4 linked regions of the Rhinolophus ferrumequinum genome follow. The protein of the gene in region 1 interacts with the protein of each later gene in a pairwise test. Links are inferred from orthologs where the notes say so. Each region holds a gene or a part of one and is shown on either strand. Other genes may lie near its edges.

Region 1 (7,887 bases):
TGTCCGGCTGGGCCAGCCGGAAGAGGCAGTCATAGACGGGGTTCACCAGGGCCATCATGGGCATGTTGTTCACCTGTGGGGGAGAACGGGCCAGAGCACCGGCTTAGTAGCCTTGGGAGACGGGCTGTCTCTGCCACACAGGATGGCTGCTGGGGCCTCACCCTCAAGTAGTCAAAGATGTTGCAGATAAAGGTGACATAGCAGACCCAGCCCTGCAGGGAGCGGGCTCGCAGCTGCTCCCGAGCTTGATACTCCTGCTGCAGCCGGTTGAGGAGTCCACGCCGGAAGACACTCTGGCCTGCCTGCTTGCTCTCTGCCTATGAACCAGGGAAAGGATGGCGAGTGGCGGGGAGCAGTGCCGTCGCAACCCCAACCTGAGCTTCCATGGCTGAGGACCCTCGTGGCTTACTTCTCTGTCTGCCTTTGGCGGAAGCCCTTTGCATCTCCGCCCTGCTGGCCAGGCTTCTGCCCACTCCTGAAGCTCCTTCCTCAAAGCATCTCCCCCTTTCTCTCCCAACCCCACCCGACCCGGATGATGGCTCAGCGTCTCCCCTCCTCTCCCAACCCCACCCAACCTGGATGATGGCGTAGCACATGCGTCCTGCTTCCTTGCTGAACACACAGTCCTGCAGAGAATGATCCACAATCACATCGGCCACTTTCTCCAAGTTCACGGCACCTGGATCTGCGTAAAGATAGGCAGGCAGTCTCGATCTGCTTAATTATCACATTTGCCTCCGCCCGCTCCTAAGGATTGGAGATGTTTACACAAGAGTGCACCCGTTATATGCTCACGTTCAAAGCGTCCAGAACACACACGGAGAAGTGACCGCACGTAGGAGCTGCTCCAACCATAAGCCTCCCCGTGGCCCACCCAGAGGAAACAGGGGTGGTTACGTGGCTGTCAGAGACTAATCAAAGAATGCTCGTTTTTTAGGACACACATCTCCTAGCACTAGGTTGAGGAAGGAGCACTGAATAACAATGTTTTTGACAGTGGTATCACAGAAGAAAGTTCTCAGTACACACACATGAACCCCTGACATGAGCGGGCCATCCAGGGCCTTCCCACAGGCTTAGCTCGGCGTGTGATGGGCACTGGTAATTGTTGGCTTAGTCAAACTTTGTCCTGAGTGCTGCAGGAAGGCCTTGGTCCAGGACAGGTACTCTGTCTCCTCTTCCAAGCAGAACACTCAACCCTCTGTCCCAAGTCGGGCAGCTCTGCATATTCAAGAGAGTTGGTTGTAGTAACGCAGAACCGGGTCCAATGTAAGGACTTAAGGGACAGGAACTGTGTCCTCTGTGCGCTGCCCTTTCACTGATACTTCTACTTAAAAAAAAGACTTTATGACTTTACATTCTGAGAGGTGACTATGATTCACTCCTAAATCCTGGTCGGAATGTAGCTTGTCTTCCAGTTTGCGAGTTACGTCACTGACTCCTCAGAAACGGAAGGGAGAGGGAGGGCTGGGTATTCCCAGGCTAAGGCTCAGTCCTCCAGTCCTGTTCCCGGGGGCCCAGACCCAGGCTCACGAGGGCTCCCCATGCTCACCTTTGAGTGCTGTCTTCAGCAGCTGCTGGGTCTCTGCATCAAAAGATTGGATTTTATACTCCTCTCTACCAGGCTCCCCCATGACCATCCAGCCCCAGCAGCTCTTTACTGAGGTGGGACTAGTGACAGCACCTGGGGAGGAGGAGAGGTAAAGGGGCATGTCTCAGATGTGGAGACACGTGGGGCTGGGGTTCCAGTCTGCAGACCCTGGGTGGGGCTGGCCAGAGATTGGGACAGGGGCTCCTGGGCTGTCCTTGGCATTTGGTGGTTGGCTGAACACCCAAGCTTGGCTTCTGCTGGAGACTGGGGACCAGCCGGGCACCTGCTGCACAGTTTAGGATCCCCTGTAACTTCTGGGATTACACAAGAGTAAAGAGATGAAGGGTGAAATCTGCCAGTCCCAGTAGTAGGCAGGGTTATTCTCAGCTAATACCAAGGGTGGGGTGGGGTGCGCTGGGCTGGGCGTGTACATAGGTGGATGTTAGATACCGCCCTGCCTGTGGAAGCCGGCCTGGAAGCTGCTGGCCCAGCACAATTCCCGACCAGTGAGAGGGCTGGGGGCTCCAAGCTAAGCACCGCCGTCCCAGCAGGCTTCCAAGCCCCTCTCCTTAACCCTCTCGCTCAGCTTTGGTCCGAGTCCTCAGTCCACAAGACCCACCCTTGGGGTTGGGGCCGGTCTGCGTGAGTGGGAGCAGGAGCCTCCTCTGCGGCCTTAACGGTTGGGAGCCCGAACTCCCCTGTCCTGGCTGGCTTCTCTCAGGGACGGACTGGTTAAACTGGCCTCCCGAGTGGCAGAAACCCGGCCCTGCCCACTCAGGACTCCCAATTCCTGGGCTCCATTCTAGATCCTTCCTCTTAAAGAGGGGAGCGGGATGGAGAGTCCCCCAGAGGTATTCCCCGTTGGAGGCACCTCTCCGAACTCGGTGCCTCCCCCCGGTCAAAGGAGACAACGACCTGAGAGGTCTCCAGACCTGGGCAGCTTCCCTAACCCCGGAACGCCCTCCCCGCGGCGCAGGGCCGGCAGCGAAGGCCGCCGTCCGGTGTCCCGCGGAAGGCAGAGGCGGCGTGAGCGCCGACACCCACCTGCCGGGTCGGCACTGCGCCCGCGTGCCCGGAGGCCGTTCGGCGGGCATGGTGCGCGCGCCCCGCGTCCACGGCGTAGCTGGTGCGACCAGTCGCGCCTCGCCTCAGCTTAGGTCATTTCCTAGAGCGGCGCCAGCGCGCGGCCTGGGGCGGGCCTGGGACGGGGTGGGGGCGGGGCCCGGGGCGGGGCGGGGGCGGGGCCGCTCCCGGCGGGTCGGAGGCGGAGCCGCCTCTCCAGCGCCACCTGCTGGAGCCCCGGCGGCGCTGCTCTCTTCGCCGGGTCCGCCCCGAGGTTCCTGGCGTGGGGCCGAAGCGGGGCCGAGCGCGAAGTGCGCGACACTGTTCCCCCTGCCCCTGTCGTTTCCTCACCCGATTCGCCCAGGGCCTGTCCGGGACCACAGTGGCTCGTCGGCGCAGGGTTCCTGTGCCGACAACTCCCGGACCTGCTCCTCCGCTCGCAAGAAGCCCTTGGTCTTATGCGGTGCCACCCCTCCCGCCCCACGCCAGGGGCTCAGGTTAAAACCCCGTCAGGAGGAGACTCGGCCGAACCGCGCGGCGTGGGAGGAGCCTGCGGGGGGCGTGGTTCATACCGGGGCGGCTTAAGGGAGCAAGGGGGGAGGGTAGAGAAGATGGCTAGAGGGGTTAGGACTTCACTAGTGATGGCAGCGTGTCCCCCACTCCCACCGCCCAAGGTAGAGAAGGCATGGGGTGTTGTAAGGACTGGATCAAATCCCACTGACTCCCTCTCGTACTCCAAATACACATAATAATGGTAAAGTAAGTTGAAAATCAATGGGCCAACCCAAGAGAAAGGGTCCCAGTTGCCAACTTGCGACCATGAGGTGTTGGAGTAACCCTGAAGGTGAGCTCGCTCCTGGGTCCGTCTTTCTTGGCTAGGGCTGGAGGAGAGGCGCGGGCCCAACAGCCCAGACAGGGTCATCCCTGGGTAGCAGGAGGACATACATTAGGGGCTGCAAAAGAACTGCCTGCTCCCTTCGCTTAGACGAGAAGTGTGAAGGGTGGTTTCCTGGTGCCAAAGTTCTGTTAAAAGAGCCACCAAAGTGGTCACTAGAAAATGGATGAGAACTCTCAGCTTTAGCAAAAGAAACCAATGAGCGGAGAGATGAAGAAAATAAAGTTTACTTCATAGGAATTTCATAAAAAATACATTCAAGCAGCTGCCTCCGTGCAGCCCAAGCCTCGGCCTTAAGCTCCAAAAAGCTTGTGAGCGTTGGGAGTGCCCTCCAGCCAGTCTGGACCTTCATAGTCAGCAGCCAAGGGCAGGGAAGCTTCAGGATTCAGGTTCCCAGACGTATCACAAAGCCCCAGGCCAGAGCCAAAATAGTAATGATGAGAGAAGGGCCCAGGGTTTCTGGGCAAAGAGAGCCATGACCCACCAGGCCAGCTCCCAGCCGGTGTCTTCTTCCTAAGTCAGAGCACAGGCTACAGCCAGAGCTCAGAGGTCGAAGTCCTGCGTAGAACTCGCGTGCTCTTCCCCACAGGCCAAGCACCCCTCTGGGCTGGGGACAAGTGGATGGAGAGGGTGGGGGCTGTGTTCTGTAGTTCTTCTTCTCTCATACCCCTAACTGAAGTCCTTGTGCCTATATGGATATCTGTTGTGGGTTCCTGTGCTCTGACAACTGCCCTGGGTACCAACTGCGCCCTCAGCAGGCTGTCTGCCCAACCCCTTCCTTCCGCCACCCCCTTCACGGGGCTGCTTCAGAGCTCAGGCTCTTCTGGGGTTATAAAACAGACACAGTGCCATGCTGAGCTGAGAACGCTGAGCGGGCAGCTGATGCCAACTGGCCCAGCTGTAAGTTCCCACTCACCTGTGGGGTAAAGGAGCCATCCCAGGTAGACTGGAGAAAAGGGCTGCTGCCTTTACCCACCTCTTGTCCTCCACAAAGACCCCTGCTTCCTGCGAGGCTGCTGGTATCTACCTCCCCTAGAGCCTGGGCTGCGTCCAGTCCTGCGTCCAGTCCTGCCTAGGCACAGGAGAGCCTGAGTGGTACATCTACAGACACGCAGGTCTGGACATGGAGGGTTAGAAAGTGACCCATGCAGCTTAGATTCCTTCCCCAGAACTAGAAGCAAAGCTGCCTGTGGGATGCAACTCCTCAGAAAAGTGGAATTTAAGAAAGGCTGAGATTCCTTCCCTCGTGCTTTGTGAGGAGGGATGTGACTTGGAAGCGAAGATGGAGGAATAATGTAAGGAATGTGCTTTTAGCTTTAATGTCTATTAAATAAGTTGGTGGGAATCAGAGCCCAGATGTGGGGACCAGACCCCTGCCAAGGGCTGAGTCCCCGCCCTCCCACTCAAACTGCAGCTCCCCCAGAGCCAGGAGAGCTCTTGGCGCAGAGGGCTAGAAAGTGCGGGACAGCAGCTGCTGGCAGAGTAAGGGCCTGGCAGAGGAGAAACTCTGAACTCCTTGTGACTGGAATGGCTGGGATCCCACAGACCCAGTCTGCAGTCCCCCCGCCCTTCCAGTGGCATCCAAGCTGGTGGGATCAAGGCTGCAGCCCCGCTCCCATGCTCAGGACAGCTGGCTTGGACGAATGGACCAGGCAGCACCTCTCTGTGCAACACAAGATTGTAGATCAAGTCTTACTTCTTCCAAGAGGTCGCCTCGAGTGAAACCTCAGGCCACCTTGTGGCCATCAAGGCTAGCTGTCTGCCTTCTTCATGTGGTGGAAGAGGTCACAGAAGAACTCATACCAGAAGAACACGAAGCCAGTGGACAGGGCAGCCTTCAGCAGGCTGGGGGACAGGCCCTTGAAGAAGCCCTGTGCACCTTCCTCCCGCAGCACCTGCTTGGCACAATCCATGAGGCCCTTATAGCTTCGAACCTGGGGAGAGGAAGGTGACTCTGGTTGAGAAGAGAGGTGATTACAACATGGATGTTGGCTCTATTCTTTTGTCTACACCAGGGGTGTCCAAACTGCGGCCCACGATCCATTGTTAATTGGCCTGCAGCAAATTCCAAAAATATATTTAGTTTACTTAAATAAACCAGGTGAGGCAATACGTACTTCACCTCGAGTGAGTGGCCCGGCTGTGTGTGTATTTTACCGCATATGGCCCTTGGTGAAAAACGTTGAAAACAGTTTGGACACCCCTGATCTACACAATGCCTGGAACATCCTAGCTCCCAATAAATACTTGCTGGATGAAGGAATGAATACAAAAAAGAGGGAACAAATGAACCATTCTTTCTCTTCTGAGTGGGCTAATTCAGACTTAAGAGTTGAACTGCCTGGAAATCAGCACTGGACAGAGCTCCTTCCTGCCCAGTGGATTCCCATTGACTGGCTCTTGAGAACTCAGTGAGAGCTCTGGACACATTTCCTAGAGATGCCTCTGACCCTTCACCCATCCCTCCTGGGCAGTAGATCTGAATTGGCCCTCATTAGCTCTTAGCCTGACTAGTGCCACGCCTCCAGCCTGGCCTTCCCAGTCTGTTGCAAGGAACAACTCTGCTCAAGCCTGGTTCCCTTCCAAAAGGTCCAGTAACTCCTGATGACGACGATGATGATGATGGTGACATTATATAGAACCAAGTCCAAGCTCTGCAGCCCGGTGTTCATGTGGCCTCAACTTCCCTCCCTGACCTGCACTTTTCCCCCACTGGCCCCCCACGGCCCTTTCCACCTCCAGCCACACCGGCCCACACTGGTCTCCGGGAGGAGCAGGGCCTCCCCCCTCTGTCCGGGGCTCTCACCAACTCTCCCTCTCCAATTCAAACCGTCCCTTCAGAACCAGTTGGTAAACGGAAAAAGGTTATGAAACCTTGTCCACAACCCCATTTTTGTTAAAATATACATGTGAGGGGTGGCCAGTTAGCTCAGTTGGTTAGAGCGTGGTGCTGATAACACCAAGGTGGCTGGTTTGATATCCACATGGGCCGCTGTGAGCTGTGACCTCCTTAAAAAAAGAAATATATATATATATATGTACATATATATATACACAATTATGTATATATATATATACATATACATATGTCGTTTCATTTCTTTGCATAAACTCATACACGAGTCTATGCAAAGAAATGAAACTACAGCCAAAAGTTCTGTGATTATCTCTGGGTGGGTGGTGTTGGAGTTACATGTGCTTTTTATCTTTCTTTCTAGCTTCTTGTCTGTCTTTTTGTCTTTCTTTTGTCTGATTTCTCTAAAGTCTTCTACAGAGAAACTGTATTACAACTATAAACCCAATTCTTTCTCTTCCTCCGAGCCAGGCGTGCTCCCTCCCTTCCTCTGCCGTCCCTCTTTTGACACCTGTCAGGCACCTTTCTTCATGCCTTGTCATCCCAGGTTCACAGCTTCTGGAGGGGAAATCCCTGGAATGACCCACCCTTGCCTCAACCCCACCCACTACTGACTACCACTGTGGCCTTTCGCAAAATGAGTGCTCCAGGAGTGGGTGAAAATCCAATGTGTAAAAATCTAAACAGACTAAGGAATGACTATTAACGTTAGAAAACTACCTACAACGGGGCTTCTCTGAATGATAAACCCTTCTACTGCATTTAAAATATAATTTTGTTGATCAAATTTAATGCACCCTTTCCAGGAACACCTATAGCACAAAGCAAAGACCCCAGGCACCAGTGTGAGTCTCCTTCTCCGTGTTCTTTGATATGTTAGAGACCTTTCTTATGTGAGTATTCTCTTCAAATGGGACGAGTATTCGTCCCAAACTGAACTTAACACTTTTTTTTTTTTTTTTTTATCCCCACCCCGAACTTGACACTTTTTAAGAGCAGACACAGGGAATTCTCCTCCGCCTGGATCTTTCCACAGTGCCTAATATACACAGGGCTTTGCGTGGAGCTTTCCCATGTGCTCGGGGCTCCCCAGGGACAGGCTGGAGGTGAAAGCATGATGGGCGCTAATGGGGAGGAGCTGACTCCTGTTCCTTCATGTGCCCCGTGAGAGGCAAGGATCAGAGCTGTTTGCAGGGGGACAGCTCACCTGGCCAAAGGTGACTCGGGCCTGCTCAAACCCTCTGACCTGCAGCCGCTTCTTGAAGAGGTCCAGGGGATACGTAAGGGTCTTGCTGATCACTCCAGCTCCACTGCCACAAAGCAGGTTTTTGAAGTTCCCTGAACCAGAGAAGTAGGATTGAGGGGAAAAATGAGAAATGCAATCTAGGGTGTAATGCTCCACCATAAAACAAAAACCCACAAGCATCCTTGCTCTCAGAGGAATTTAACCCAGGAGAGAGAGAGAACCAGACTCGGCCACTTTTG
Region 2 (7,999 bases), on another chromosome or scaffold:
ACCTGCATGGTAGAAGGCCACCACCTCCATCTCACCCTACCCTCATTATACCATCATTGTAATACCACACATATGCCCAGTAGTTCATTAATATCATTATAACAGACTGAACTCTAGGAAGGGACATGCACAGTCTAAGAAGATGAGGTAATGGCTCCTTATCAATCACAGGTGTCAATCAAGTGGCCCCACACCTGGAGAGGAACAACCCATCCTGGAGGAAAAAAAGACAAAACCTCTAGTCTCCTGTGAGCCACCACCCTTGAGCCCTTTGAGCCTTTTGAGCAGCTTCTTTTGCTCGGGACCTGCTCCAAACCCTTTGGAGTGTACTTTTGCTTCTAACAATGGGCTTTGAGCCGCTTTTCTTTGTGCTCAGCCCACTCCTAATTCTTTGGAGTGTACTATCTCTTCTAATAAACTTATTTCACCACTTTACGTCTGTGTCTCGTTCAATTCTTTGCTTCAGATGCCAAGAACCTGGACACCATGCCGAGGAGGACCCATCCTCTGGTAACGTAGCAGCTAGGATTCCCAGTTTTCCTCCCCGAGGCCCGGGTTTGACCCTCGGTGTGAGAGACAAGCCCGGACACTGCCAGGTTCGACCCCCAGTGTGGAAACCAAGCCCAAGCATCTCACCGAGAAGGGCCCCCTCTCCGGTAACAACTCCAAACCTCATACTCTTACCCATTCCACTATTACCTACATCATCTTACATGTCCAAAACACATGGGTATAAAATTGAGCTACTGGTCATAACAGGGTTAAAAATATTGCAGAAAAATATTGACTTTCCTTATGTAAAATATAATAGCATCCTACTTAAATAGAAAATCAAGCTTAAAAGCCAATGAGAAATAAATCACCTGAATTAACTTCCCAATTCACAGCAACGCATTAATAATTATCATTACACCTAACATTTGTTGAGCACTTCATATGCAGCAGGCACTGATCTTAGCTTTTGATCCTCATAACAACCTTATAATGAGTTACTGTTATTATTGTTTTTAACACTGAGGAAACTGAGGCAGTAAGGTTAAGACAGCTAAAGGCAAAAACCAAGAGAGACAAGTGTTTGTTCTGATCCAAATGGGCCCAAAAATGTTAGGCATATTTAGCCTAAACAATCTGAGAAATGGGTCAGATTTATGTGCCACCACAATTAAAATGGAAAGCCAAAATTGTACAAATTGTGATTTCAAAGTAAAAGAAAAGAATATAGATTGTAGTCTCAATAATTTTGCTGTGTTGCCAGAGTTGTTGCTGTTAGGATAGCACCTTCACTAATGAAAGAATTTGAGACAAATTAAAAATAACTGTTTTTTTCATTCACCCAGTGGCATACGAGGAAAAACTGTAATTGAGGCCCCAAAGTCACATTCTTCCAAACATGAATTTTCTACAGGAATTTTTCAGATAATTATCCAGTTCTCCATGATATTTTTCTCTCATAGATAATGTCAACTATGTAATAGAAAGCTATCTTTTTTTTTCTGGTTTATACTTAATTTTTTTAAATTAAAGTTTATTGGGGTGACAATTGTTAGTAAAGTTACATAGATTTCAGGTGTACAATTCTGTATTACATCATCTATAAATCACATTTTGTGTGCACCACCTAGAGTCAGTTCTCCTTGTATCACCATATATTTGATAATCGAAAGCTATCTTAACGCATCATGCAAATTGCATACTTTAGGAAACTTATTATTCTGGACTAAGCAATAGGCCTGTTGGTAAGAGTGATTGCTATACATATGGCTTGCTTGGCAATAGAACATTGGTAGAACCTCACCTTGGGGCATGAGCAAGATAACAGGGGTTCAAGATGGTACAATTAAAATACTTAGTTTTGGAAAGATGTAGTCCTAGTTCTAACTCTCCCGTGGCACCTAAGCTACTTTTAGCATCTATAAAATGGACTTAGAATGTTCATTTATTTGCTATCAGATCAAGTGGGGTTGGCCGAATAATTGTTTTCAGATCATAAGGTGCTATAGGAATTAGCTGGGATCTTAAAATAGAGATCCTGATTTAGTAGGTCTGAAGTGGGGCCTGAGATTCTACATTTGTAATAGGCTCCCAAGATATGTTATCTATGCTGCTGGGGGATCACACTTGGAGTAGCAAGGGCCGAAACTGGAGCATGAAGTTTTTCATCTGTTTGTTCAAAGACAAAGATTAAAAGGTTTGATGGGGGAGGGGGTGCGGAGGGGTTCGTTCCCCATCTATTTATTCATCAAATGAGTGTCTGTTATGCGTTAGTCCCTGAAGATAAGCATTAAAGAAAGCAGACACTACCCTGCCCTCATGGAGTTCCCAGCCTAACCAGTGAGAGCTACATTTAGTGAAAAATGACAGAACTCACCCAAAGGCACCCCCCTGCTGGAGCCTAGAATTGTCCATTTGCCCCAAGGTACCTGGGTGCGTTGATTGGCTGGCGGGACTGGCTTCCAGGCTTCAGCCAATGAGGCTCGGGCGGCTGTTAGTGGAGGTAACTGCCATGCAGTAGGGCGATGGCTGGGGTTGCTGGCCACGTCCGCGATCGTGCCCCGGAGCGCTTTCCGTTTGCCCTACCGGTGGGAGACGTGAGTATTCTTAGAGGGTAGACATGAGACCTTTTTTTCTACATTTAGTTATCGTCCTTGCCCCCACCCCATTAACTGTTAATAATAACAGCTAATATGTATTGAGTCTTCTCTATAGACTGCGCACTGTACCAACGGCCTTAACCTTGTGATCTCATTGAATCCTCGAACTGTGAGACAGGTACTTAGCGTGATTTCAGAGGAGGTGGAGGTGGCCTAAAGTCATGTGGGAATACATGCTGGAGGCCTACTTGATATCCAAGATGCTCTTATTCCTGAGTCCTCTTTCCGCACTCCACTTTGGAGACCAGATTCCTCCTTAACAGGAGTTTCACATTGTGCAGGTGTGGGGTGGCATAGGAGGGTCTAGAATCCTGATGCTTATTTTTAAGCTTTTTTTTTAAATAGAAAAAGCAACACATGCTAAAGGCATTTATGGAAAGGAGAGCTGCTGTCTCTTGGGATAGCTATGCAGGCAACTTCATTTGAGTCTTATTTTATTTCTTAAACCCTGAGGGGAGAACCTAGATGTTTGTTATATTATCACCTTTCTTATTTGTCTGAAATACTCACATGCACATGGAAAATAAATTTCAGAGTATAAAGTGTACACAACAAAAAGGAAGTCTCTCCCACCCCAGATTTTCTGAAGCCCCTCACTAGAAGCAGCAGCCACTGTTATCAGTTTTGTGTGTATCTTAAACATTTTGTATAGTAGGTACATATACGTGACTTTGTTTTGTTTTGTTTTTGCACAAGTGGATTCTATTATATACATTCTAGCACCTTGGCTTATTTATTTTTTAACCTCATTAAACTTGAAAAACATCCATTAATTTCCTTTAGCCCTGTGATCAGTATAATTTCTCTGGAAAAATATTCCCAGGGTTGCTTCTGACATGATGAGATGTAGGTCACGGCTTCCCCAGCTGGCATTTTCCTTTTTCTTTTTGCAAAATCCTTACCTATATAGGTTCCAAATAAATCTTCCCTAAATTAACCCCTAGAGGGTGCAGGAGAATAAGAATCATGGCAAGTAAAGGATTGAGGGGAGCTGCTTTATCCTTTCCCAAACATTTTGACTAATAATCTCCAGGTAAAATTCCACATAGAGCTCACTACTGCTTGAAATGAATTTATCACAGTGGAATATTGGCAAAGTGAGATATGTGGGGATTAATTTTTCAAGTTGCATGAAAATGCACAGCTTCTTTCTAGTGAAATAACAAAAGGAGAGAAGCTTGTATGATTAATGTTAGAGAAAAGCATCTGTCATACTTAATCCCATTTTCACCTCTTCTAAAAAGCATAAGGTATTTTTGCCTTTTTAAAAACCTTCCCAGTCACACAACCCTTACACGGGAGAGCTGGGATTCTGATCTAGGCACAGTTAACTTCAAAAGTCATGCCGATTGGGAGGCGTTCCCTGGAGTGAACTCTTCCGCTCATTAAGCCTCATTCACCTACCAACTTCTTCATCCCTGGCTCTTGTCATTTCCCTATAGAAATTCAGTTGTCTGTTCAGCTCCACAAACATCCCTGCTCTTTCTTGTCTCTGATCCTCTACCTGGAACACATTTCCCTAGTACCTTCCTGGAGTATTTCTCAAGGTGAAATTCCTTTAAGTCGTGTGGCCACGTACTCTGTGGGACAAATTTTTAACCAGTGTCTGAGAGGGCTGACTTCCAACACCCTGGCCCACACCAGGACATTTGAAATCACCAACCTGAAAAGTGAGAAAAAAAGATCTCGTTTCAGTGTGCGTTGTGGTGACACCCGTAATGGTTTTGTGTTTCTGTGTATGCAATCTATGTGAGCTGCTTCTGTGCCACTGTGCTGGGCTCCGGGAATGGGGCTGTACAGCCCGTTCACTAGAGCTTAGGCCCTTTAAGATAACTACCTCAGCCTGCGGTTCTGGATGTTGGATAAAAAAGCGTGAGTTAGGCAGGGGTGAGGGTGGGGGTCAGAAGGCGACAGAAGCGACAGCCCCAAAAGGGTCAGGGCCCGCGCGGCCTCCGACGTCACTGCGGCGCGCCGTTTCCGGTCCCCAGCGCCGAAGCGTAGGACTTCCCCCTCGGTGGCGCCGAAGCCGGGCTTGCTGCGACCCCCGGGAGCCCACGATCGCGCCGTGCCAGCCAGCGAGTCGGCCAGCACCAGCGTCCCACCTGCGCCTGGGACCATGGCCACCGACTCGTGGGCCCTGGCGGTGGACGAGCAGGAAGCGGCGGCCGAGTCGGTGAGTTGGCTTCAGCTGTAAAAGGGTCAGAGCGCCAGTTTTGGCTGGGGATCAGATCTCTGGGAAAGGACGCTGCCTGGGCTGGTCAGGGCCGGGATGGGGTGCGGGAGGGGATGGAGCCTGGACCCTGAGCTGGCTTTGTTTACCCATCCGCTTCCCAAATTACGTAAGCGCGGTTAAGTGCTCCCACGGATAAAGAGCCCAGCCTGCCTGTCTTCCTGTAATCCCGATTGGTCGTAGGTTGATTGCACTCAACAACCTGGATTGTAATCCATTTTGTAGGTGTCAGTTTCCACCTCCCGATTCTGAGCTTCTTGGGTTTAGGGACCATGGGTTATACAGATCTGTGTGCTTCCTCAGCTTACTAAGTGATGATGAATGAACCACTCAGTAGGTCTGGCAGGCAGTAAATCCTCTCTTGATCTGCTTAACTTTGTTCTGGGCCTGACATCCAGTAAGCAAGATAAGGAGTTAAACGTTACTATCTAGAGTTAATTTCTCCCACGTAGGCATTCTCAGTTCTGATAGTGCTTTGAACTTCTGTTAGTACTTATTTCTGTGAATTCCTGGAGAACAAGGACTTTGTCTTATTTTCTATAACTGATAAAAAATAAGTGTTAGGCACGGCTGGAGGAATGAGTTTCTGGAGACCAAAATTGGTCTATCAGAATTTATTTGGCATGTTTGAGCTGCGGGAGGTCAGGCTAGAAAAGACCATAAACTCCCTGAGTGAAAAGGGGTATGGAGTTTTATAGGAGGGGGTAAACGAGGCTATTCCCCCTTCAATGCTTCAGGGGGGTTTCAGGGTACGACCAAGCCCTCAGGTTCCACATTCTAGCCCCCAAGCCTGCTGATCCTAAGCCCCTAGGAGACAAACACAAGCCAGCAGGTACAAAAGACAAAGCAAGACAGAAATGGCTTTTAGGATAAGCAGGTTTCTGCTCTTGGCCTAAACATGGCCTAACAATAAGTAATATGCACATAGTTCAGAGAGTCAAAACTTTTAAAAACTGGTTCCCACCAACACCACCAATTTTTTCCTTCCCAGAGACAACTGCTGTTTCTCTTGAAACTGATTTACAATATTGACCTCCTTGTTCCCTAAATAACATGCTTGTTTTGCTACTTCTTGAATTTGCAGCTCTAGGTATTTTTTGATTTTTGACTCCTTCCTCCATCCCACCACACAAGCACACCTTCCCATTCCTTATCTTTTCATTATATTTTAGTTACATCAGTATTTCAGGTTTATATTAGTAATTTATGAATATTTTCACTTTCCTGTAAAACTTTGTTTTTCCTTGGAATTTGTAATTGTCATGTGTGTTTGCTTTGTGTTCTCTGTACTTATCACCAAATTCAACCCCAAGCTCTTTGCTAATGAAACAGGGCCCGATTGGCACCGCCATAGTAAGGGCCTCTCCCGTCCTTGGCCTCACCTTTCCTTGTCCGACCTAAAGCTTACTAACAATAATAGATCAACCCCCTGTGGCTGGAGCTCAGAATGTCCCCTGTCCCACCCAGTTCCCTGTTTTAAATTACCCTGACCCTTAGGCTTATTGATCACAATCTCAATTGTCCAGCATTCTTTCCAGTCTAGTCCCATCATTGTTCTTGGGTTCCTGACTCTACCAGAGAATATCACTGTAGCCTCTGGAAGAACACCCAGATTTTCCTTTAAATACCCACACTGGACTGAGAATGTTAAGGTAGTTTTTGGAGGTGTTAACCCGCTTCCTTCTCAGACCACAGGTGCTCTGATAATAAACGCTTATTCTATGACCCAATTCCTCTGTCGGTCAGTTGGCTGAGCAGCGCAGGCAGCACGAGCCCCGGACTTGTTTGGCTTCCAGTTTTACTACTGTGTTTCCTAGAAAATAAGCCCTAGCATTATTTTTCAGGATGACATCCCCTGAACATAAGCCCTAATGCGTCTGTTGGAGCAAAAATTAGTATAAGACCTGGTCTTATTATCGGGGAAACACGGTAGTTGTCTATCTCAGGATGTGCAGACACAGCAAGTATTTTATCAATTTCACTTTTCCCAGGTCTTTTAGCCTGCTTCACATTGAACTAGTTCCCCCTATGTTCAAAGCACAATGATTTTGGGGGATGGAGGGGAACAGGGCAGATTTCCCTTTGCCTTCATTCTGGGGATTCTCTCCTCTTCTGTTGTATTGTATTCCCTCCTTTCTCTATCCCCTCTCTTCATCTTTCTTGATTTGGTGGAGCCATTCATCAGCTTTCTGGAGGTGTGTTGGAAGTAAACTTTTTTGTTGCATTTCCTAAAACATCTTATTTTGCCCTATCATTTGGTTAATAGTATGGCTGGGTGTAGAATTGTAGGTTGGAAGCTATTTTCCTGCCAAATTTTAAAGGCATTTTTCCATTGCCTTTTAGATTTCTGTATTTGATGTTGAGATGTCTGAGACCATTCTGATTCCTGTTGTGACCTGTTTTTCCCTTTCTAAGCTTGGAGAATTTTCTGTTTATTTCCAGTATTCAGAAAATTCATGATGATGTGTCTTGGTAAGGGTCTATTTTTATCCATTTTAATGGGCACTGAGTGGGTCCGTTTCAATCAGGCAAATTCTTGGCCTCTGTTATGGGAAATAGTCTTGAAAATTTCATTGTTGATTTTTTCCCCCATTGTTTTTTCTACATTCCCTGTTTCAAGAATTCTTATTAGTTGAATGTTGGATCTCATGGGCTGGCTCTCTAATTTTTTTAAGTCAAACTTATTGAGGTATAATATATAGCAAAATTTACCCCTGTTCTGTGAATTTTGACAAAGGTATCCAGTGGTGTAACCACCACCACAATGAGATTTTCTCAACTGCTTTATAACCTATTTCATGTTTCATTTCTATCATGTCTTTAATTTCAAGAGCTAACGGTTTTCTTTTGTTGAAAGAAAACTGTTCTTTTTTTTACAAACAATATCCTGTGTTGCTTTAATGGCTATAATATCCTCTCATCATTTTGAGGATGTTAATATTAGTGTTTTTTTCTCTTTCTCTCTGCACAGTCTGTTTTCTATAAGGTGCTTTTATCTATTTCATATCTATTTTTTCATGATGAAGACTTCTCATATGTCTTTTTTTAATATGTTTAATTCTTAATTGTCTACTCATTTAAGAGTAGATGATTAAAAAGATAAGTGGAAGTTCTAAAC
Region 3 (7,627 bases), on another chromosome or scaffold:
AACAGATGTTTAATGTGCTTTTACAATGGATGAGGTGATGGGGAGCCAATGGTGAGCAAAACAAGTAAGGCCTTTGCTCACCGGACTCACAGTTGAGTGATGATGAAATCATCCTGTTACAAGTCAACAAGTCGCAGTTCAAGTTCATCCAATCAGCATCTCAGCAGAGATTCAGGCCAAAACAGCCAAGTACAAAGTACCCTGGGAAAAGCTATTGCACTCTGATGATTGGTTGGCTCACCTGCCTCAGCCAATCAGAGGCCAGCTGGGCTCTTAACCAAAAGTTAAAAGTTAAGTCCCAGGTCCCAGGAAAGCCTTTATTCTGCCCTTGGTTTTGGTTTTGTCACCCATTAGTTCCTGGAAGTGGGTTGCCCTGAATACAAATATTAGATTTGCCACTTACTAGGCCATTTGATCTTGCCGAAGTCAACTTCTCTGAACCTCAATTTCCTTATTTGTACAATGGAGATAAAGTAGGAAAGTTGTGAGAATTAAATGGGGGGTGATTCAAGTAAATCGTGTAGGATGCATTAAAAAAATGTTAACTCTTTTTTATCTTTTCAGTCTAACCGAATCCGAATTAGGACAGGAGGGTGTTTATCTAGTCCGCAGCTTCAGGAGAATGTGCCCTTCCCGTGTCTTGGTCTGGAGAGGAGTGCGATTCTCACTGGCTTCTGGCTGGATACCCGCCTTTTGGAATAGAAACATTAGCTGAGGGGGAGGGAGTGGTAGCCCTAGTAGAGCGTGCCCTATTGCCCGGAGCTGCTCCAAACAGACGGGCTGGTTTCAGTGTTCCAGTTGGAGCCTCAGCTAGATTAAACAAATGCCAATGAGTCTTCCCTGAGAGCACTCACCTAGATTAAACAAATGCCAATGAGTCTTCTAATAGGTGCAGGCAGTGAAATAAATAAAAAGAAATTCCAGCAAATGCCCTACAAATCCAATGCAAGCAAAAATCCTATCCTCAATTCCCCAGGTGACTATGTTTAGCTCTAGGAATTGTGTTTCAGTGGAAGCAATGTAGGCATCATCATATGAGTGCTAGAGCAGCTGCACTTTGTAATGAAATAGCAATTGATATAGGGCACCCAGTGGGCACCCAGACTTCAATTTTTGCTCTAATGACCTCTGCCACAAAGGACTTACAATTGAGTCTTTTAGTGCTGCTGCTTTTGATTTTTATGGAAAGCTTTGCTGTGTAGATGGTTGAGTTAAAGAGTAAGAGGGTGAGATGCCTCAACATCTAGTTTTTTATCTTTTTTAAAAAAGTGATTGCTACAAAAGTAAGACAAGAGCATTATTCCTCAGAAAACCAATCTGCAGTGTCCCCTAGGGTTGCTGCCCAACAAGGAGTTAGGCCATGGTGCTATCTCCCAAAAAACAATGTAGCCTCCAAGCAGTAGCTCATTGGTGCTGAGGATGCTGGGAACTAGACTAGTCCTTTGGGAAGACAGTATGGTGTTTGGCATTCTCACTTCTGTAGCATAGTGTGTGCATGCCCTGTTTTAATGAGTGATTAAGAGCTGAGAAAATATTCTTATCCTTCCTCCCTTTTTATACAGTACAGATAGACTTATTACTACCTGTATTTTTTAAACTTCGATTTTTTAAATTACATTGCATTGTCTGTTTTCTTTTTAACTGACATATATGTAGAGTGCAATGCACAGATATTAGGTGTACAATTCCATGAGTTTTGACAATTGTATACACATGTGTAACTACCACTCTAATTAAGATACAGAACATTCATCAGCCCTTAAAGTTCCTTTGTGCCCTTCCAATCAATCCTGCTCACCCCAGCCCATCCCCAGGCAACCACTGTTCTGATTTCTATCACTATAAATATCTCTTTTTAACTTATGTAAATGGAATCATGTACCATATATTTTTTTCATGTCTGGAATCTTACACTCAACATAATGCGATGGCAAATCTCTCATTTGTGTTGTTGCATGTATCAGTAGTTCATTCCTTTTCTTTTGCTCTTTAAATCAATGTTATTGAGGGGTGATTTATATAAAATAAAATGACGTTTAAAATACAGGCATACCTTGGAGATATTGTGGGTTCGGTTCCAGACCACCACAGTAAAGCAAATACAGGAATACTTCAGAGATACTGCAGGTTCAGTTCCCGACCACTGTGATAAAAGCGAGTATTGCAACAAAGCAAGTAGTCGTCTTTTTGCTAATGGAGTGTCTTGCCTTCAGTTTGTAAAAAACGCAACACCTGTGAAGCACAATAAAGTGAAACCTAGTAAAACGAGGTATACAGTTTTAACAAATTTATACATCTATGTAACAGGACTTCAATCAAGTATAGAGAACATTTCTATCACTCCAGGAATTTCCCTTGTCTCCTGCCCAAACTTCCCCCCTCCAGAGGCAACCATTGTTAATTTTTATCAGTATCGATTTCGTTTTTCCTATTCTTGAATCTCATATAATGGCTCATACAGTATGCATCTCTTGTGTCTGGCTTCTTCCTTCAACATATTTGTAAGATTAATGTATTTCATCTCGTTTATCAGTAGTCTGTTCCATTTTATTGCTCAGTAGTATTCCGTAGAATAAATATGCCATAATTTGTTTATCCATTCTGTTGATGGACACTTGTGTTGTTTCCAGTTTGGGGCTATTTTGAGTAAATCTGCTATGAACATTTGTATAATCTTTTTGTGGACATATATTTCATTTCTCTTGGATAATAAGTAGTAGTAGAAATGCTGGATCAAAGGGTAGGTGCATGCTTAACTTGAGAAACTGCCAAAAAGTTATACAACAAAACCATTGTGCCATTTTACATTCTTTCCAGAAGCCTATGAGTTCCAGTTGCTCCTGACAAAGTTTCTTTGCTTGGCCAAACTTTAGTCAGGCTCTTGAGCCTTCTGCTAGGCCAATCTGTGCACTTCCTTGTATGTTTTAGCAAGAACCCTTGATATCTGATCACCCTTAGTATCTGATCATGTTCTTCATCTTCCACCATCCCCTTCCTTTGATGTCTGATCACTCTGGGTTGTCTTCAGCAAGAATTGTGTTAGGCTGGTTACCAGAACGCCCCTAATGTTTCCTCCTAGTAATTGTTCATCCACTCATACCACCTCCTGCCTCCTTGGCTATAAATTCCCACTTGCCCATTGATGTTTAAAGTGAGCCCAAGCTCTTCCCCCCACTGCAAACATCCCATTGCAATGATCCCTATACCTATTGCAATGGTCCTGAATAGTCTTCCCTACCATCTTTAACAAACGTCGTTGAATAATTTTTTAACATTCCATATCCTTATTAACACATGGTGGGTCAATTTTTAATTTTAGCCATTCAAACGGGTGTACTGTGGTATCTCATTGTGACTTTGGTTGCATTTTCTTAATAACTAATGATTTCGAACTCCTTCCATGTCCTGACTATCCTCTTTTGTCAAGTATTCAAGTCAGTCATACATTTTGACATAAATGTTGCAATGATTAGAAATGTGTCCTAGAGGGATACATTTTGAACTAAAATCTGTTAGTCTATTCATACACATATACATTAAAAGATATTTATTGAGTCTACTATGTGCCATGAACTTTTCTAGGTTCACTAACCAGCTGTGTAACCAAGATATTTAAGGTCTTTGCTTTTGTTTCGAGTTCATATTGTAGTGGGGAGACAAAAAGCAAACTGGCGACAAACAAGATGATTTTTGGTGGTGTGAAGATGCTCACTGAGGTATCAACTGATGATAAAACATCAGAAACAACTGATATCCCCAAGGGGCTAGGAGTTGGGGAGTTAGGCAATTTATGTGATATGAGCTTGGACTATTATAATGTTTTTAAATTGATAATTATGACATTAAAAAACACTTAGCCGTATAATAAGGTCAAATGTTAAATTGTATATATACTTTGTTTAGGACTATGTAAAATACCCGTGCTATGATGTGTATGGACAATGACCGGAAGGACCCAGAAGGAAAACAAGAAACGCTGCTGTATTTTTTGGACTGGTGGAATTATGGGAAAGCGGGTTTAAGGGCTTTTGGTTATGTTTTGTTTCTTGTCGTCTTACCTGTTGTCACGTTAAGAGTAGAAACTGGCACCACGTGGTATTCTCACGGGACTTTCTTTTGTGTAAGGCTTTAGAGTTCAGAGACACATTTGAGACGAGGCAGGTTTAAGAATAAAACTTCAGTGTGAAGCATGGCAAAGTGAGAGCTAAGAGCTTCACTACGCACGGCTTGGAGATTTTGAGGAACGAAGAGGCTGCGCGCCTCAGGAAACCCACAGAAGCTTCGAGCGCGCGCCTGACGAGAGGCTGCCAGGCTGGGAGGCGGCGCGGCGCGAAATGGTGACGTCTCGCGCCAGGCAGGAGCTGACGTCACTTTTCTCACCGCCGCTTCCGGTCCGCGAGAGTGTCGGTCTCGCGCAAGCGGGGGAACCGGGGCAAGTGTTGGCGTGCGGTGCGGTACTTTTTTTCGCGAGTCGGACTCCCTCCCTTGGGACCATGGCCACCGACTCGTGGGCCCTGGCAGTGGACGAACAGGAAGCGGCTGTCAAGTCGGTCAGTGTCTTCAGCTCCGGGCGGGGAGAAGGGGCGGTGGCGGGCCAAGTGGACCCGCTTTCGAATCCAGGGAGCCCCACAGGTGGGGCAGGCCCGGGGCCCACCGGGGAATCAGCCCTGATGTGCGCCTAGAGAGACCAATATCGAGCCTTTTTCTTCATCTGGGCCTGTTAGAGACTTTTATCCTGTGGCAAATCTGACCCCGTTACATAGGCTGTCTTTTCCTGTACTGCATCTCCATTTCTGTGGGGATTGTAAGGAAAGGCGTTTAGATGCTGATTCTTTCTCATCTGTTTTCTGAACGATTCTGTGCTTATTTTAACATTTTTTTTAGATCCATGCTTAAAGTGGTTGGCAGTTTGTAGCTCTTTGCAGAATAACAGATTCAGGTTTATATATATTTTAGTCTACTGCAAATATTGGCGAGAGGCACGACAAATTGTTTCATTGATGTTTAAAGTAACATTTAGTTTCGTAAACTGGTTCTTCTTTGATAAATGAAGATCCATTCAACTGGAATATAATTATAATTAAACTGTAACTTTCTGTTTTTGTGTCTAAGTTTAGATTTGTTTAGTGATAATGGACTTGATTTTAGGAATACAGTTTGTTTTTTTGGTGGGTTTTTTTTTTTTTGGTTGTTTTGTTTTTGTAGTCTGAAATCTTAAATAACTTTTTAATACCTAAATTACATTCTTCTCCAGTCACCCTTTATTGCGTTGGGAGAATTGTCAGTTTGTCAGCAGATATTTGAAATGGGCTTAATTCCTTGGAGAATAGGAAGAAACTTTACAGTCTAGTTAGGAAGGCTAGAAAGTGGAAAGTGCTGTGAAAATGGTAAGAAGAATGATAACTGAACTCGGACAAGGGAGAAGACATTAATGAGTAGGAAATTCCTTTTCAAGTAATTTACATTTGAACTGGATATTAGAGAATGAGTCATTTAAGGTAGAGATGGAGGTGAAAGGCATTTTAGGAAAATAGAATGCATAAAAGTGCTGCACTTGCTTAGAGAACAGGAATCATAACTAATTTTTGCTGAGTTACTGGGTTGTAGTAGAAGCAGTATAGAAAATATTGTAGGGAGTATATTTTTGGACCTTAACTAAAAACTTTAAGAGGAGAGGCTTTATTTGGTTGGTTTGGGGATTTTTAAGGATATTAACAAAATTAGATGGAGTGCTGGCAAGATTTGTTGGACTACAGAGAACATAATATATTAGAAGGAATGAATAGTATCCAAAGGAAAGGAGATCAGTGTGGAAATGATGCCAATAGCCCAGATAGAAGTCATATGTTGGGTGGTAAAAGTGAAGATTGGATTTAAGAGATAATTGTGGAAGTATAATAGAAAAGATTTAGAAAATAGAAGGGAGAGGAAGGCAAAGATACTGTTTTCAATTGGATCCTAATAATAGGACTAGGAGAGTGGGAAGAAGGGCAGTTCTGATATGGAAAATAGTGAGTTTACTTTTGACTGTTCCAAATTTGAGGTAAAGAGGACATCTTGGTAAATACCTGTGTTGGGAGTTCTGAAGAGTTTTCCAAGTTTGATAATTTCCTAGGAGAACTCACGGACTCAGCATATAATGGTACTCACAGCTATGATTTATTCAATGAAAAACTACAAAGCAAAATTAGCAAAAGACATGGGCTCATGGAGCAAAGTCCTGAGAAAACCAGGCGCAAGCTTCTAAATCCTCTTCCAAATCTAAGAAAGAATGAAAAGCGTATGCTAAAAGTAAAAGGGTGCACTAGAAAGAGAAGAGAGGACAGTAAAAGAAATAGTGGAAGCTATATTGGCCAATAACTATGCAAAATTAATGGCAGATGCCAAAACACAGATCTAGGATGCTTTGAAAACAGCAAACAAGATAATTGCTAAAAATGTAAATATGTTTAATTATGTATGTTGTAGAAAATCAAAGACAAAGAAAAAATCTTGAAAGAAAAAAGATGATAAGTCACATGCTCCACTTAATGTGTGCTTAATTCCTCCTGCAATAGATTGTAACAATACATCAAGTGTTGTCAGGAAAGCTCATTAGACACTCAGTGCTCAGAGTTTTTGTTGAGGGGCCTGTTACATAGTCATCCTCGGCTGAGCCTATACCCAAATTCCAGATTCCCAAAAGAAAAGCAGGTCTTAACATGAACCACATGTTTTTACAAGCATAGGGACCCCCTCAGAATTTCTGAGAATGGTGGGAGCCCTCTCAAAATCCATATTCCCAGATGCCAGCCAAGGGCCAACCTTGCAAGCTGGCTTTCCTAAGGATAGTAGTCAGCCTTGCTCTGTTAACTCTTTTCTGCACAGCACCCATTAGACATTTGGAAATGTGGTACTGGAGTTCTGGAGAAGAAATCAGGTCAGATGTATAAAACTGGCAGTTGTCCACAAAGAAATCAAAAGGTATTATCTAGTATATGGTTCTGGCACTCTAGAGTTTACAATCTAATGTTTAGCATCAGATCTTCCCTAAAAGATAATTACCAAGAATTGGTTTCAAAACTTTTTAAACCTATGATCTAATCTAGCTGTGATATGTCACAAACGTAGGCCTTAACATACTTGGTACCTGGTTCTAACCAATCTGCTTATCAGAAGGGTGGTGTAATTAAATGTTTTAAAACATTGCTTCTTCACAGTTGGAGAAAACCCTCCCCCACCCCCATTTTATTTTACCACATAGACTTGTGTACATTAACTTAATAAATAATTCATGGTATTATGTTATCCTGTGGCTTGCTCTCAAGTGTTTTTAAATTTCTTTTCAGATCAGTAATTTGCAGATCAAGGAAGAGAAAGTCAAACCAGATACCAATGGTGAGTCACTAGTAACTGTAAACTGGATACAAGCTACAAGTTTGCTTCAATTTTGCACTCTTAGCTGCAGTGTGCAAAGGAGCTTTCATTTAGCATGTTTGGCAAATGTCAGCATTGGATTTGACAGCCAGTAAAGTCAGTTTCACACAGAAGGGGATATATTTTTCCAGATTTTATCTAGCTTGTGACTCTTTAAAATCAAGAATCATTATTGGATTGTACTGTCACTGTTCACTTGATAATGTTTCTT
Region 4 (8,313 bases), on another chromosome or scaffold:
TTTCACTCAACATGTTATGGGGATTTATCCACTTGGCTGATGTGTGTCAGTACTTTGTCTCTTTTTATTATGTAGTAAGTAGAAGCAATGCCCTTAATTTTAAACTGTTTATCAGTCTGTGTTTGGAAACAGTGGTCGCTCAATGGGCTGTTGGTCAAATTGTGGTACGTACATTTGTACACGTGTGTGAATCCACATCCATGAGACATTTCTAATAGTTGAATGGCTGGGTCAAAACTTTAGAATTGCACATCCTCTGAAAATCTAGTGGGTATTTTTGTAGGGATTGCATTAAATTTGCAGACTTCAGGGGGAAATTGACATCTTTCTCTTTTTTTTTTTTTGAAATTGACATCTTAATGACAAGTCTTCCCTTCTAAGAACAGGATTGGTCCTTCTGGTTATTCAGATATTCTTTTATGTCCCTCATAGCATTTTTAAGTTTTAATATATTGTAAATTTCTTGACTTGACTCAGGCATTTAACGCTTTACTAATATAAATGGGATGTTATTTTCCAAACAGTGGTCCTTTGTCCAGAGAAAGATTATTGACTTGTATTAATTATTGACTTTGTATATTGATTATGTATTTTTTTAACCTAGCCAACTTACTGAATCCCCTTATTTTTGGGTACTTTTATAGTTGAGGTCTTCGTTTCAGATATATAATATGCTATCAAGAATAATTTGATGATTCACTTTAGCATAAGGAGTAGAAATTGTGTCTGTTTCCTGCTCTGAATCAGCCATTGAGGCTCAGCGGGGTGATGGGCTGTCCCTCAGGGCTGAAGTTCTAGTGGTGGCCCAAGTGACTGGCTGCTGTGAGCTACACCCACCTCCATGCACCCTGAGACCACTGGCCCAGGCTAGGCTTGTGGACCCAGGAGGGGCACTGCTCTGGTTGGGTGGGGCAAAGGAAGGGGACACAACTTCCAGCAGCTCCTGCTCCTTGGCTGGCTGCAGGGAAGTTCTTCCTTCCATCAGAGTTCAAGTTCAGACTTTTCCTGGGAAGATAAACCTGGTGGAATTGGAGCATTGATAAGAATAGTGATTGTAGTTAACTGACATACATTTAATTAATGAAATCCACTGATGCTGAAAGCCTCGTTACCATTTGAGGTGACTATTAAATGTCACACTTTGAAATCATTAAAGGGAGAAAAGCAAGCCTTTATCCAGAAGGAACTGTATTTGATGATAACCAGATGGTGCCTGCTGATGAGGAGAACGCTCTATTTCCGATAGAATGGCAGTTTATAAATGTAGGAGAAATAGTAGATTTAGGTAATCATTCTGCAACCCCTAATGATCTAATTTATTCAGTCAAGAATCATGGCTGGATTTGGGTGGTTTTTTTAAACCATATAAACCCTTTCAAGTGTACCATTCAGTGACATTCAGTGCACTCACATTATTATACAACCATTACTACTATTTCCAGAACATTTTTATCTTCCCAAACAGAAACTGGAGCCATTAAACACTACCTCCTCATTCCCTCCTCCCTGTACAGCCCCAATAACCTCTATTTCAATTATCTTGAGAGTATACCTAGGAGTGGGATTGCTGGATCATATGGAATTTCTGTGTTTAATTTTTTGAGGAACTGCCAAACTGTTTCCCATCACAGCAGATGGTTTTTTCATAAAATAACTTTCAAGGCACATCTGAAACACTTGTGCACTTCCCAGATCCCTGCCTACTTTTCCCCCAGACGCAGCCACTATGAGAGTGTGGCTATGTCTCCTTCCTGTCCATGGTTTTTGGCACTTACCACATCTGCATGTCCGTACACTTAGTATTCTCCGTGTCTTTGAAAAAGATAAATGTTATTCTACTGCACATATCTATCTGCAACCTGCTTTTCTCCCTCAAGCATGTTTGGAGTTTTTAGAAAAAGGCCAGCTGTAGAAAAAGTACAGTGAATTCCACAACAAACAAAATGGTCAGCGTTTGTTTCTCCTTTCAGTGTCACAAGGAAGCTTCTCTAATACCCTGTCATTGCCCCGGTGACCATTATTGTGCACATGTGTAATGTGCTTGTAGGCTTTATCTACACTCACATGTAGCCATCTGTGACTACTATTATAATAGAAAACGTGGACAGCGTCAGACAACTACTGATCAGCACCACCTCTATTCCAGTCCCAGTTCTCAGACTGGGCGTGTGGCAATACCGTAGACAGACCAATAAATTTCTGTTGTTAAAGCTGCCCAGTCTGTGGTACTTTGTCATGGAAGCTCTAGCGAACCAATTGAAGTTGTTCCTGGTTTTTGGCCATTGTGAATAAAGCTGCTATGAACAATCCGTGTCTATATTCTAACGCATGGCTTTTTGTGGACATGTTTCCATTTCTTATGGAGAACACCAAGAAGTGGAATCCATATTGTGAGTTATAGCAAACCCCCCTGAAGCTGCTGCAGAGTTTCCAGAGGACGGCATATCATGCTCTCGCTCCCCTCCTCAAGCACATTGCAGAGCTGGGTTTGCTCTGTGCTGGCTGCTGTCCTTTGGAGATGCCAGATGTAGGAAGAAAGTTGGTGCCACCAAGAAGAAACTGAGGAGGGGCTCTGGGACTTTCCCCCATCCACCCTTGGATTCAGTCTTCTCCCCACTGCCCCATGCTTCCTCCGGCCTCCTTTTACGTTTCTTTGGGAAGTACTTGACTTTTTATAAAAATGATACATCCTAGATGTTTAAGAAAAAGTATTCCATGCAGAAAAATACCAAAATGGAAGTAAAGATGAGGCCAAATCGAAACACCCAGAAGCATCCATGTTTAGTGGCTAATGTCCTCTGGGCAGTACAGTGTCTCTCCAGGGGTGGTGCTTGTATGGATGAGGCAACATTTAGCTAATTCTTTATTCATGATGGTTGCATAGTTTTCAGTTTTTCAATCCTTTAAGCCACACTGTGCTGGATACTTCCTTACAATTTAATGCACTTGGATGTATATTTCCTCTCCTAGGCTAGTCCTAGGAGAGGGTATGGAAGGTAGTGGATGTACAAAACATAGTAAAATACATTTATATGTTACATCGCGCATATATTACATAAACACTACATATTAATACATAAAGTATATAAAATAAATTTTATATTTATGTATATATTTATATTTAAATCAAGATAATATATGCATACACATGGTAAAAAATTTTAAATACAGCAGAAAAGTCCAAAAACAAGATTTTCTCCCCTGATGCCTTTCTCAGAGCATCCCTCAGCAACAGTTTGATATTTCTTTTCTGAAAATAGTTTGCATATATCTACATATCTATGTACAATTAAAGATTTACACAAATTGGTTCCTATAGCATATGCCACTTTACATCTTGCTTCCTCCTCTTATCGTGATTTTTTAAAACATGAGCACAAATGAATCTACTTCTTTCAAGACTGCATAGCATTCCATAGATAATGGAAAAAACATACTTTAATCTATTTAACCAGCCCTACCAAATGGACAGATAATTGTTTCTGACTTTTGCTATCATGAACAATCCTGCACGGGTATCTTATTTTCACATCTTTGCAAACATTTACAAGTTTTTCTCACAGTTCAAATTACTAGGTGGCTCAAAGGAAAATACATCTGTGCATTTCAAGTTTTAGTATATGTCAAATTTCCCTCCAAAAAGTTTGCATAATTTCACATACCAACAAAAGGTACAAGCCTCTGTTTCTCTACATCTTTGCTACCTTTGGGTAACATCACATTTTTAAAGTTTTGCCCATCTGCTACGTTGTTTGTATTTTGCATTTCTTGGAGTAAATTTGAGTAAGTGCACAAATGTTTATTGGCCCTTCGTACAAACTTTATATTTTCATCCTTATTTCCAGACCACCCTCTTTCTTTCACTCACTTTCCCAGTCTCCTTCCTGGTCTCTTGCTAATTCATTCTTTTCTACTTTACCCTCTATAGGCTTCCAAAATAATCTTTCTCACAAAAAAATCTGGTCATACTGGGTCACCTCTCAAAACATGTCAGTGATCTCTGGGGTGGCTGGATGGCTCAGTTGGTTCGAGTGCAAGCTCTGAACAACAGGGTTGCTGGTTCAATTCCCCTATGGGATGGTGGGCTGTGCCCCTTGCAACTAAGATTGAAAACAGCAACTGGACGTGGAGCTGAGCTGCGCCCTCCACAACTAGATTGAAGGACAATGACTGATGGGTCCTTGAAAAACACACTGTTCCCCAATATTCCCCAATAAGAATTAAAAAACAAAAAACATGTCAGTGATCTCACCCATACCCACTGCCTACAGGATAAAGAGACTACACTCTTCAGTTTGGTTTAAAAAGTCCTTTATGATCTGATTCCCACTCTGCCCCCCTAAATGCCCATTAATTGAGCACTTACTACATGCAGTCACCCTGTGGGTGCTGGGGACCCACAGGTGAACAAAGTAGGCAAATGTCTGCTTTCTGCAGCTGACATTCTACAACAGTGTTTCACATAATGAAACTTTTTTCATTATCACCCTTGTAAAGGAAAAGGATGGAATTGTCTTTAAATTTAATGTAAGTCAATCAATTTCAATTTAATTGCATTTAATTTCTCCCTAATGACAGAAATTAAATACTTAGTAATAAGATTTTGTCTGAGAGGGTTGGTTTTGGAAGGCCACAAGCCATTGTAATTTTTAAGGATTTTTGCCCCCCACCCGAATTAATTTTGGTCCCCTTGGGAGCCATATCGCTCCCATTGAGAATGCATGCTTTAAAGGGAGAGCTGTACAATAAACAAGTAAGTGTTAAAGATTATATCAGAGAGCCAAGAATTTACAAAGGAAAGAAAGGAGAGTGCTTGAGGGCGCCACTTGACATCTTGAGCATCTGAATCAGGAAGTGCTTTGGAGACGAGGAAGACCAGCCTTGCTTTTTTCAGCTGCAAAATGGAAATGATAATTTTCTCCTCACAGTGCCTAGCACACAGCAAGCGCTTAATGAGTTGGCATAATTGTTATTATTAATTATTTTACTTTATTATTTTTTTACTGAGGTATAATTAACAATTAAAAACAAAAAGGTAAAGGGATAAGCCCTGAGATAACGCTTCTGCTCCTACTTGGGTACTAGCGCGTAGCAGCTCACACAACTGGCGCCTCCCCCTCCGTCCGCAAGGGGCGCTGTGGGCCCCGCGGCCGGGCTGTTCTAGGCCGCGGCAACGGAAGTTTCAGTTTTCCCTCACTTCCTGTCTTTGGCCCAGGCTTGGGCTGCGTGGAGGTTTTGCGATGCCGACTGGAGACTTTGAGTGAGTCGAGGGTCGCCAGAAGGTGGGGTGTGGGGGCGGAAGGTGCCTTAAGGGTCCTCGGGGGTTTTCTGGGGCCTGGGTACGCGGAGGCCGCGGGAGCCTCGCCTCGCTGGCTCACCCCTTTGCTCCCACAAACTTGTCCCCGCAGTTCGAAGCCCAGCTGGGCCGACCAGGTGGAGGAGGAAGGAGAGGACGGTGAGTACGCCAGGTCGTCCGGTCACTGCGCCTGCTCTAGCCCTCTACCTTGGCACCGCCGGCCGACCCCGCATCGCCCCCCACGGCCAGCCTCTGCCCCGCGCCATCCCTATCTGCGCCAGCCTGTCGCCAATTCCAGATGTTCACTGGCCAGTCCCTCTTCCTCCCCAGGCCTCACAGCCCAAGCCCTCATAGCCGCTCCCCTACTCAGGAGGAAGTTGTAACAGCCTGCCTTCTGCCTTTGTACCAGCGCCCGGATGCTTTGATGGCCTGCCCCTCCCTGCCTTTATGCCAGGCGGCCCCCTATCCTTGCCATTGCTCTGGGTCACTACAGCCAGCTCAGTGTCCCCGCACAGCTGTCCCTGGGTACTTCCTGGCCAGCCCTCTGCCCCCGGTCCCACCTTCTTCAGGTCCTGGCGTGGGCATCATCCTAAAGGTCCCTGTATTTCATTCAGCTTGGGAGCTCCCGCCCCTTCACCTCACTTCTCCTCCCCACACTCCCTCTCACAGACAAATGTGTCACCAGCGAACTCCTCAAGGGGATACCTCTGGCCACTGGCGACACCAGCCCAGAGCCTGAGCTACTGCCAGGAGGTGAGTGATGACCTCCACTCCATGCCTGGGCTGCCTCTCTCCCCAGCCACATTTCCGCGGGGACCCCATTACCCGTGGCTCAGTTCCTCTCCCCTTCTCCCTTCATCCAGCTCCACTTCCGTCTCCTAAGGAGGTCATCAATGGAAACATCAAGACAGTGACTGAGTACAAGATAGATGAGGATGGCAAAAAGTTCAAGGTGAGGCTGGGAGCAGGGGTGTGTCAGGCGGGTCCTTGGGCCCAGGAGCCTTGAGGACAGGAAGCCCAAATGTCTCCTCTCCTCTCCTCTCCCATCCACAGATTGTCCGCACCTTCAGAATTGAGACCCGGAAGGCTTCAAAGGCTGTTGCAAGGAGGAAGGTGAGACCCTGCTCCCTTGTCTTGGGGGCTTACCCCAGGGCTAACTCAGAGGAATTAAGAATCCTTTTTCCCAGTGCCTTTATTTTCAGAAGTGAGGTCTAAGAGTTTAACCGATTTTATTGGAGGAGAATTGAGGCGAGGAGTGTTTGTACTCTGTTGAGGCCCCAAACAGTCCAAGTTGCAGGAGTGGTTGGGTAGCTTCTTATGCTTCTTGACTTGTCTACCAGGAGGAACAAAGCTAAACGTTCCCCTGAGGTGGTCATAGCAGTGGAAGTGGTAGCAATAAATCCATTTGGCACAGTTATCTGCACACTGTGTGCCAGACCCCATGCCAAATGCCCTGTGGGAAGTGTTTTCTCATTTTGATCCCCATAGCAACCCAGGGAGGTGGGGAGCATTTGTGATCCCCATTTTATAGGAGAGGAAGCTGAGGCCCAGGTTGTTTAGCCCAAGGCCCCCGAAGTTTGGATGACCCCTGCATACTCCTGAGCATTACTCCCTGGTGGCAGCTGGGCCACCACCTGCACAGCCCCCCCAGGAGCTGTTGGCTGTGCAGGTGTTTCCCTGAGCCTCTGTTCTCTCATCTGGAATATGGGGTGAGAACTGCCCCTGCCTCCTGGAGCTGGCGTGAAGCCTGGCACTCACTCAGGAAATAGGAACTGTCATCGTCACTGCTATAGGGGGCATTTGGAGAGGGTGGAGAATGGGGTTTAAGGCTCAGTCACCCTGAAGGGCGCTGTTGCAGGTCTGGGTACCAGGGGGCGGTGGTCCTACCTGCTCTTGCCCTGACCTGTCCCCACCCTGCCCTGAGCCCAGAACTGGAAGAAGTTTGGGAACTCAGAGTTTGACCTACCAGGGCCTAATGTGGCCACCACCACGGTCAGCGATGATGTGTCCATGACTTTCATCACCAGCAAAGAGGTAAATGAGGCAATAGGGCGGGAAGGTGCTGGCCAGGCTCTTGGTGGCAGGGGTGCAGCAGCCCTCCTCTGAGCTGCCCTTGTCCATCCTGTCAGGATCTGAACTGCCAAGAGGAGGAGGACCCGATGAATAAGCTCAAGGGCCAGAAGATCGTGTCCTGCCGCATCTGCAAGGGCGACCACTGGACCACCCGCTGCCCTTACAAGGACACGCTGGGGCCCATGCAGAAGGAGCTGGCCGAGCAGCTGGGCCTGTCTACTGGCGAGAAGGAGAAGCTGCCTGGAGGTGCCGGGGGCTGGGGGTGCGGCTGGCAGGCCGTGCTGCATGGGGACCATGGTGGAGGGGGAGGCTGTGTGCCCTTCTGGAGAGTCCTGGTCTGTCACCTGCTCTCTCTGAACGGGCTGTCCATCGTAGCTGTTGTTCCCACACCACAGTGTCAGCTCCGCAAAGCCTGTGGGCTACAGTCTGTGTTTGTGTGTGTGTGAGAGACCGGCCGGGTGGGTGTTGTGACGGCTGGTGATGTCACCTGTCTCCTTGTCGGGGGCTGTGAGACCTGCTTGTGTGCATGCCTGTGTACCTCACCGGGAGGAGTGGGGAGACGGCGACCCCGTGAGTGAGACATGCCTGCAGTGATTTTGCTGCGGACTGGAGATGGTCTGACGTGAGTGTGCCGTGTCTGTCTGCCATGGTGCGGCGGCTGCCCCGTGTGTGCTTCTGTGCACACACACCTGCGAGCAGACACACAGCTGACTGTCTGCGGTCCTTGTCCTTCAGCGTGATTTGCTGAGGGTAAGTTTGAGTCCAGACAGCTCTACATCTGACTTTTGGGTGCGGCGTGCTTGTCACCTGCCGTGTGTCCCCTGGGGCTTTTCCCTGCCCCATGTTGCTCTGTGGTGAGAGTAGGCTGAGTATTCCTCAGCTCTCAGCCTTGTAGGCACTTCAGACCCAATCAACCCTCATGCCTTTTGCTCTTCCTGCGCTGC

Evidence for each region.
Region 2: the proteins of MIF4GD (region 1) and ATP-dependent RNA helicase DDX19B interact in binary tests that used the Homo sapiens proteins (3 or more experiments, as listed by UniProt). The link is inferred for Rhinolophus ferrumequinum from reciprocal best matches to the Homo sapiens genes MIF4GD and DDX19B.
Region 3: the proteins of MIF4GD (region 1) and ATP-dependent RNA helicase DDX19A interact in binary tests that used the Homo sapiens proteins (3 or more experiments, as listed by UniProt). The two-hybrid records come from large-scale screens. The link is inferred for Rhinolophus ferrumequinum from reciprocal best matches to the Homo sapiens genes MIF4GD and DDX19A.
Region 4: the proteins of MIF4GD (region 1) and EIF3G interact in binary tests that used the Homo sapiens proteins (3 or more experiments, as listed by UniProt). The link is inferred for Rhinolophus ferrumequinum from reciprocal best matches to the Homo sapiens genes MIF4GD and EIF3G.

What each region holds. Positions count from the first base shown.
Region 1 is NC_046304.1:50,290,375-50,298,261, forward strand, and holds the start of MIF4GD (MIF4G domain-containing protein), read right to left. Parts: upstream 3,167-7,887; 5' UTR 3,005-3,166; intron 2,808-3,004; exon of another isoform or gene 2,636-2,807; intron 1,685-2,635; 5' UTR 1,641-1,684; coding exon 1,553-1,640; intron 686-1,552; coding exon 576-685; intron 318-575; coding exon 162-317; intron 74-161; coding exon 1-73. Other genes in the region: SLC25A19 (mitochondrial thiamine pyrophosphate carrier), read right to left, coding at 5,300-5,482, 7,610-7,740. UniProt on the Homo sapiens protein: Functions in replication-dependent translation of histone mRNAs which differ from other eukaryotic mRNAs in that they do not end with a poly-A tail but a stem-loop. May participate in circularizing those mRNAs specifically enhancing their translation.
Region 2 is NC_046298.1:22,020,517-22,028,515, reverse strand, and holds the start of ATP-dependent RNA helicase DDX19B, read left to right. Parts: upstream 1-4,622; 5' UTR 4,623-4,767; coding exon 4,768-4,824; intron 4,825-7,999. UniProt on the Homo sapiens protein: ATP-dependent RNA helicase involved in mRNA export from the nucleus.
Region 3 is NC_046298.1:21,991,884-21,999,510, reverse strand, and holds the start of ATP-dependent RNA helicase DDX19A, read left to right. Parts: upstream 1-4,372; 5' UTR 4,373-4,493; coding exon 4,494-4,550; intron 4,551-7,328; coding exon 7,329-7,377; intron 7,378-7,627. UniProt on the Homo sapiens protein: ATP-dependent RNA helicase involved in mRNA export from the nucleus.
Region 4 is NC_046301.1:40,041,992-40,050,304, forward strand, and holds the start of EIF3G (eukaryotic translation initiation factor 3 subunit G), read left to right. Parts: upstream 1-5,156; 5' UTR 5,157-5,240; coding exon 5,241-5,260; intron 5,261-5,408; coding exon 5,409-5,455; intron 5,456-5,965; coding exon 5,966-6,049; intron 6,050-6,159; coding exon 6,160-6,248; intron 6,249-6,349; coding exon 6,350-6,409; intron 6,410-7,225; coding exon 7,226-7,330; intron 7,331-7,425; coding exon 7,426-7,615; intron 7,616-8,313. UniProt on the Homo sapiens protein: RNA-binding component of the eukaryotic translation initiation factor 3 (eIF-3) complex, which is required for several steps in the initiation of protein synthesis.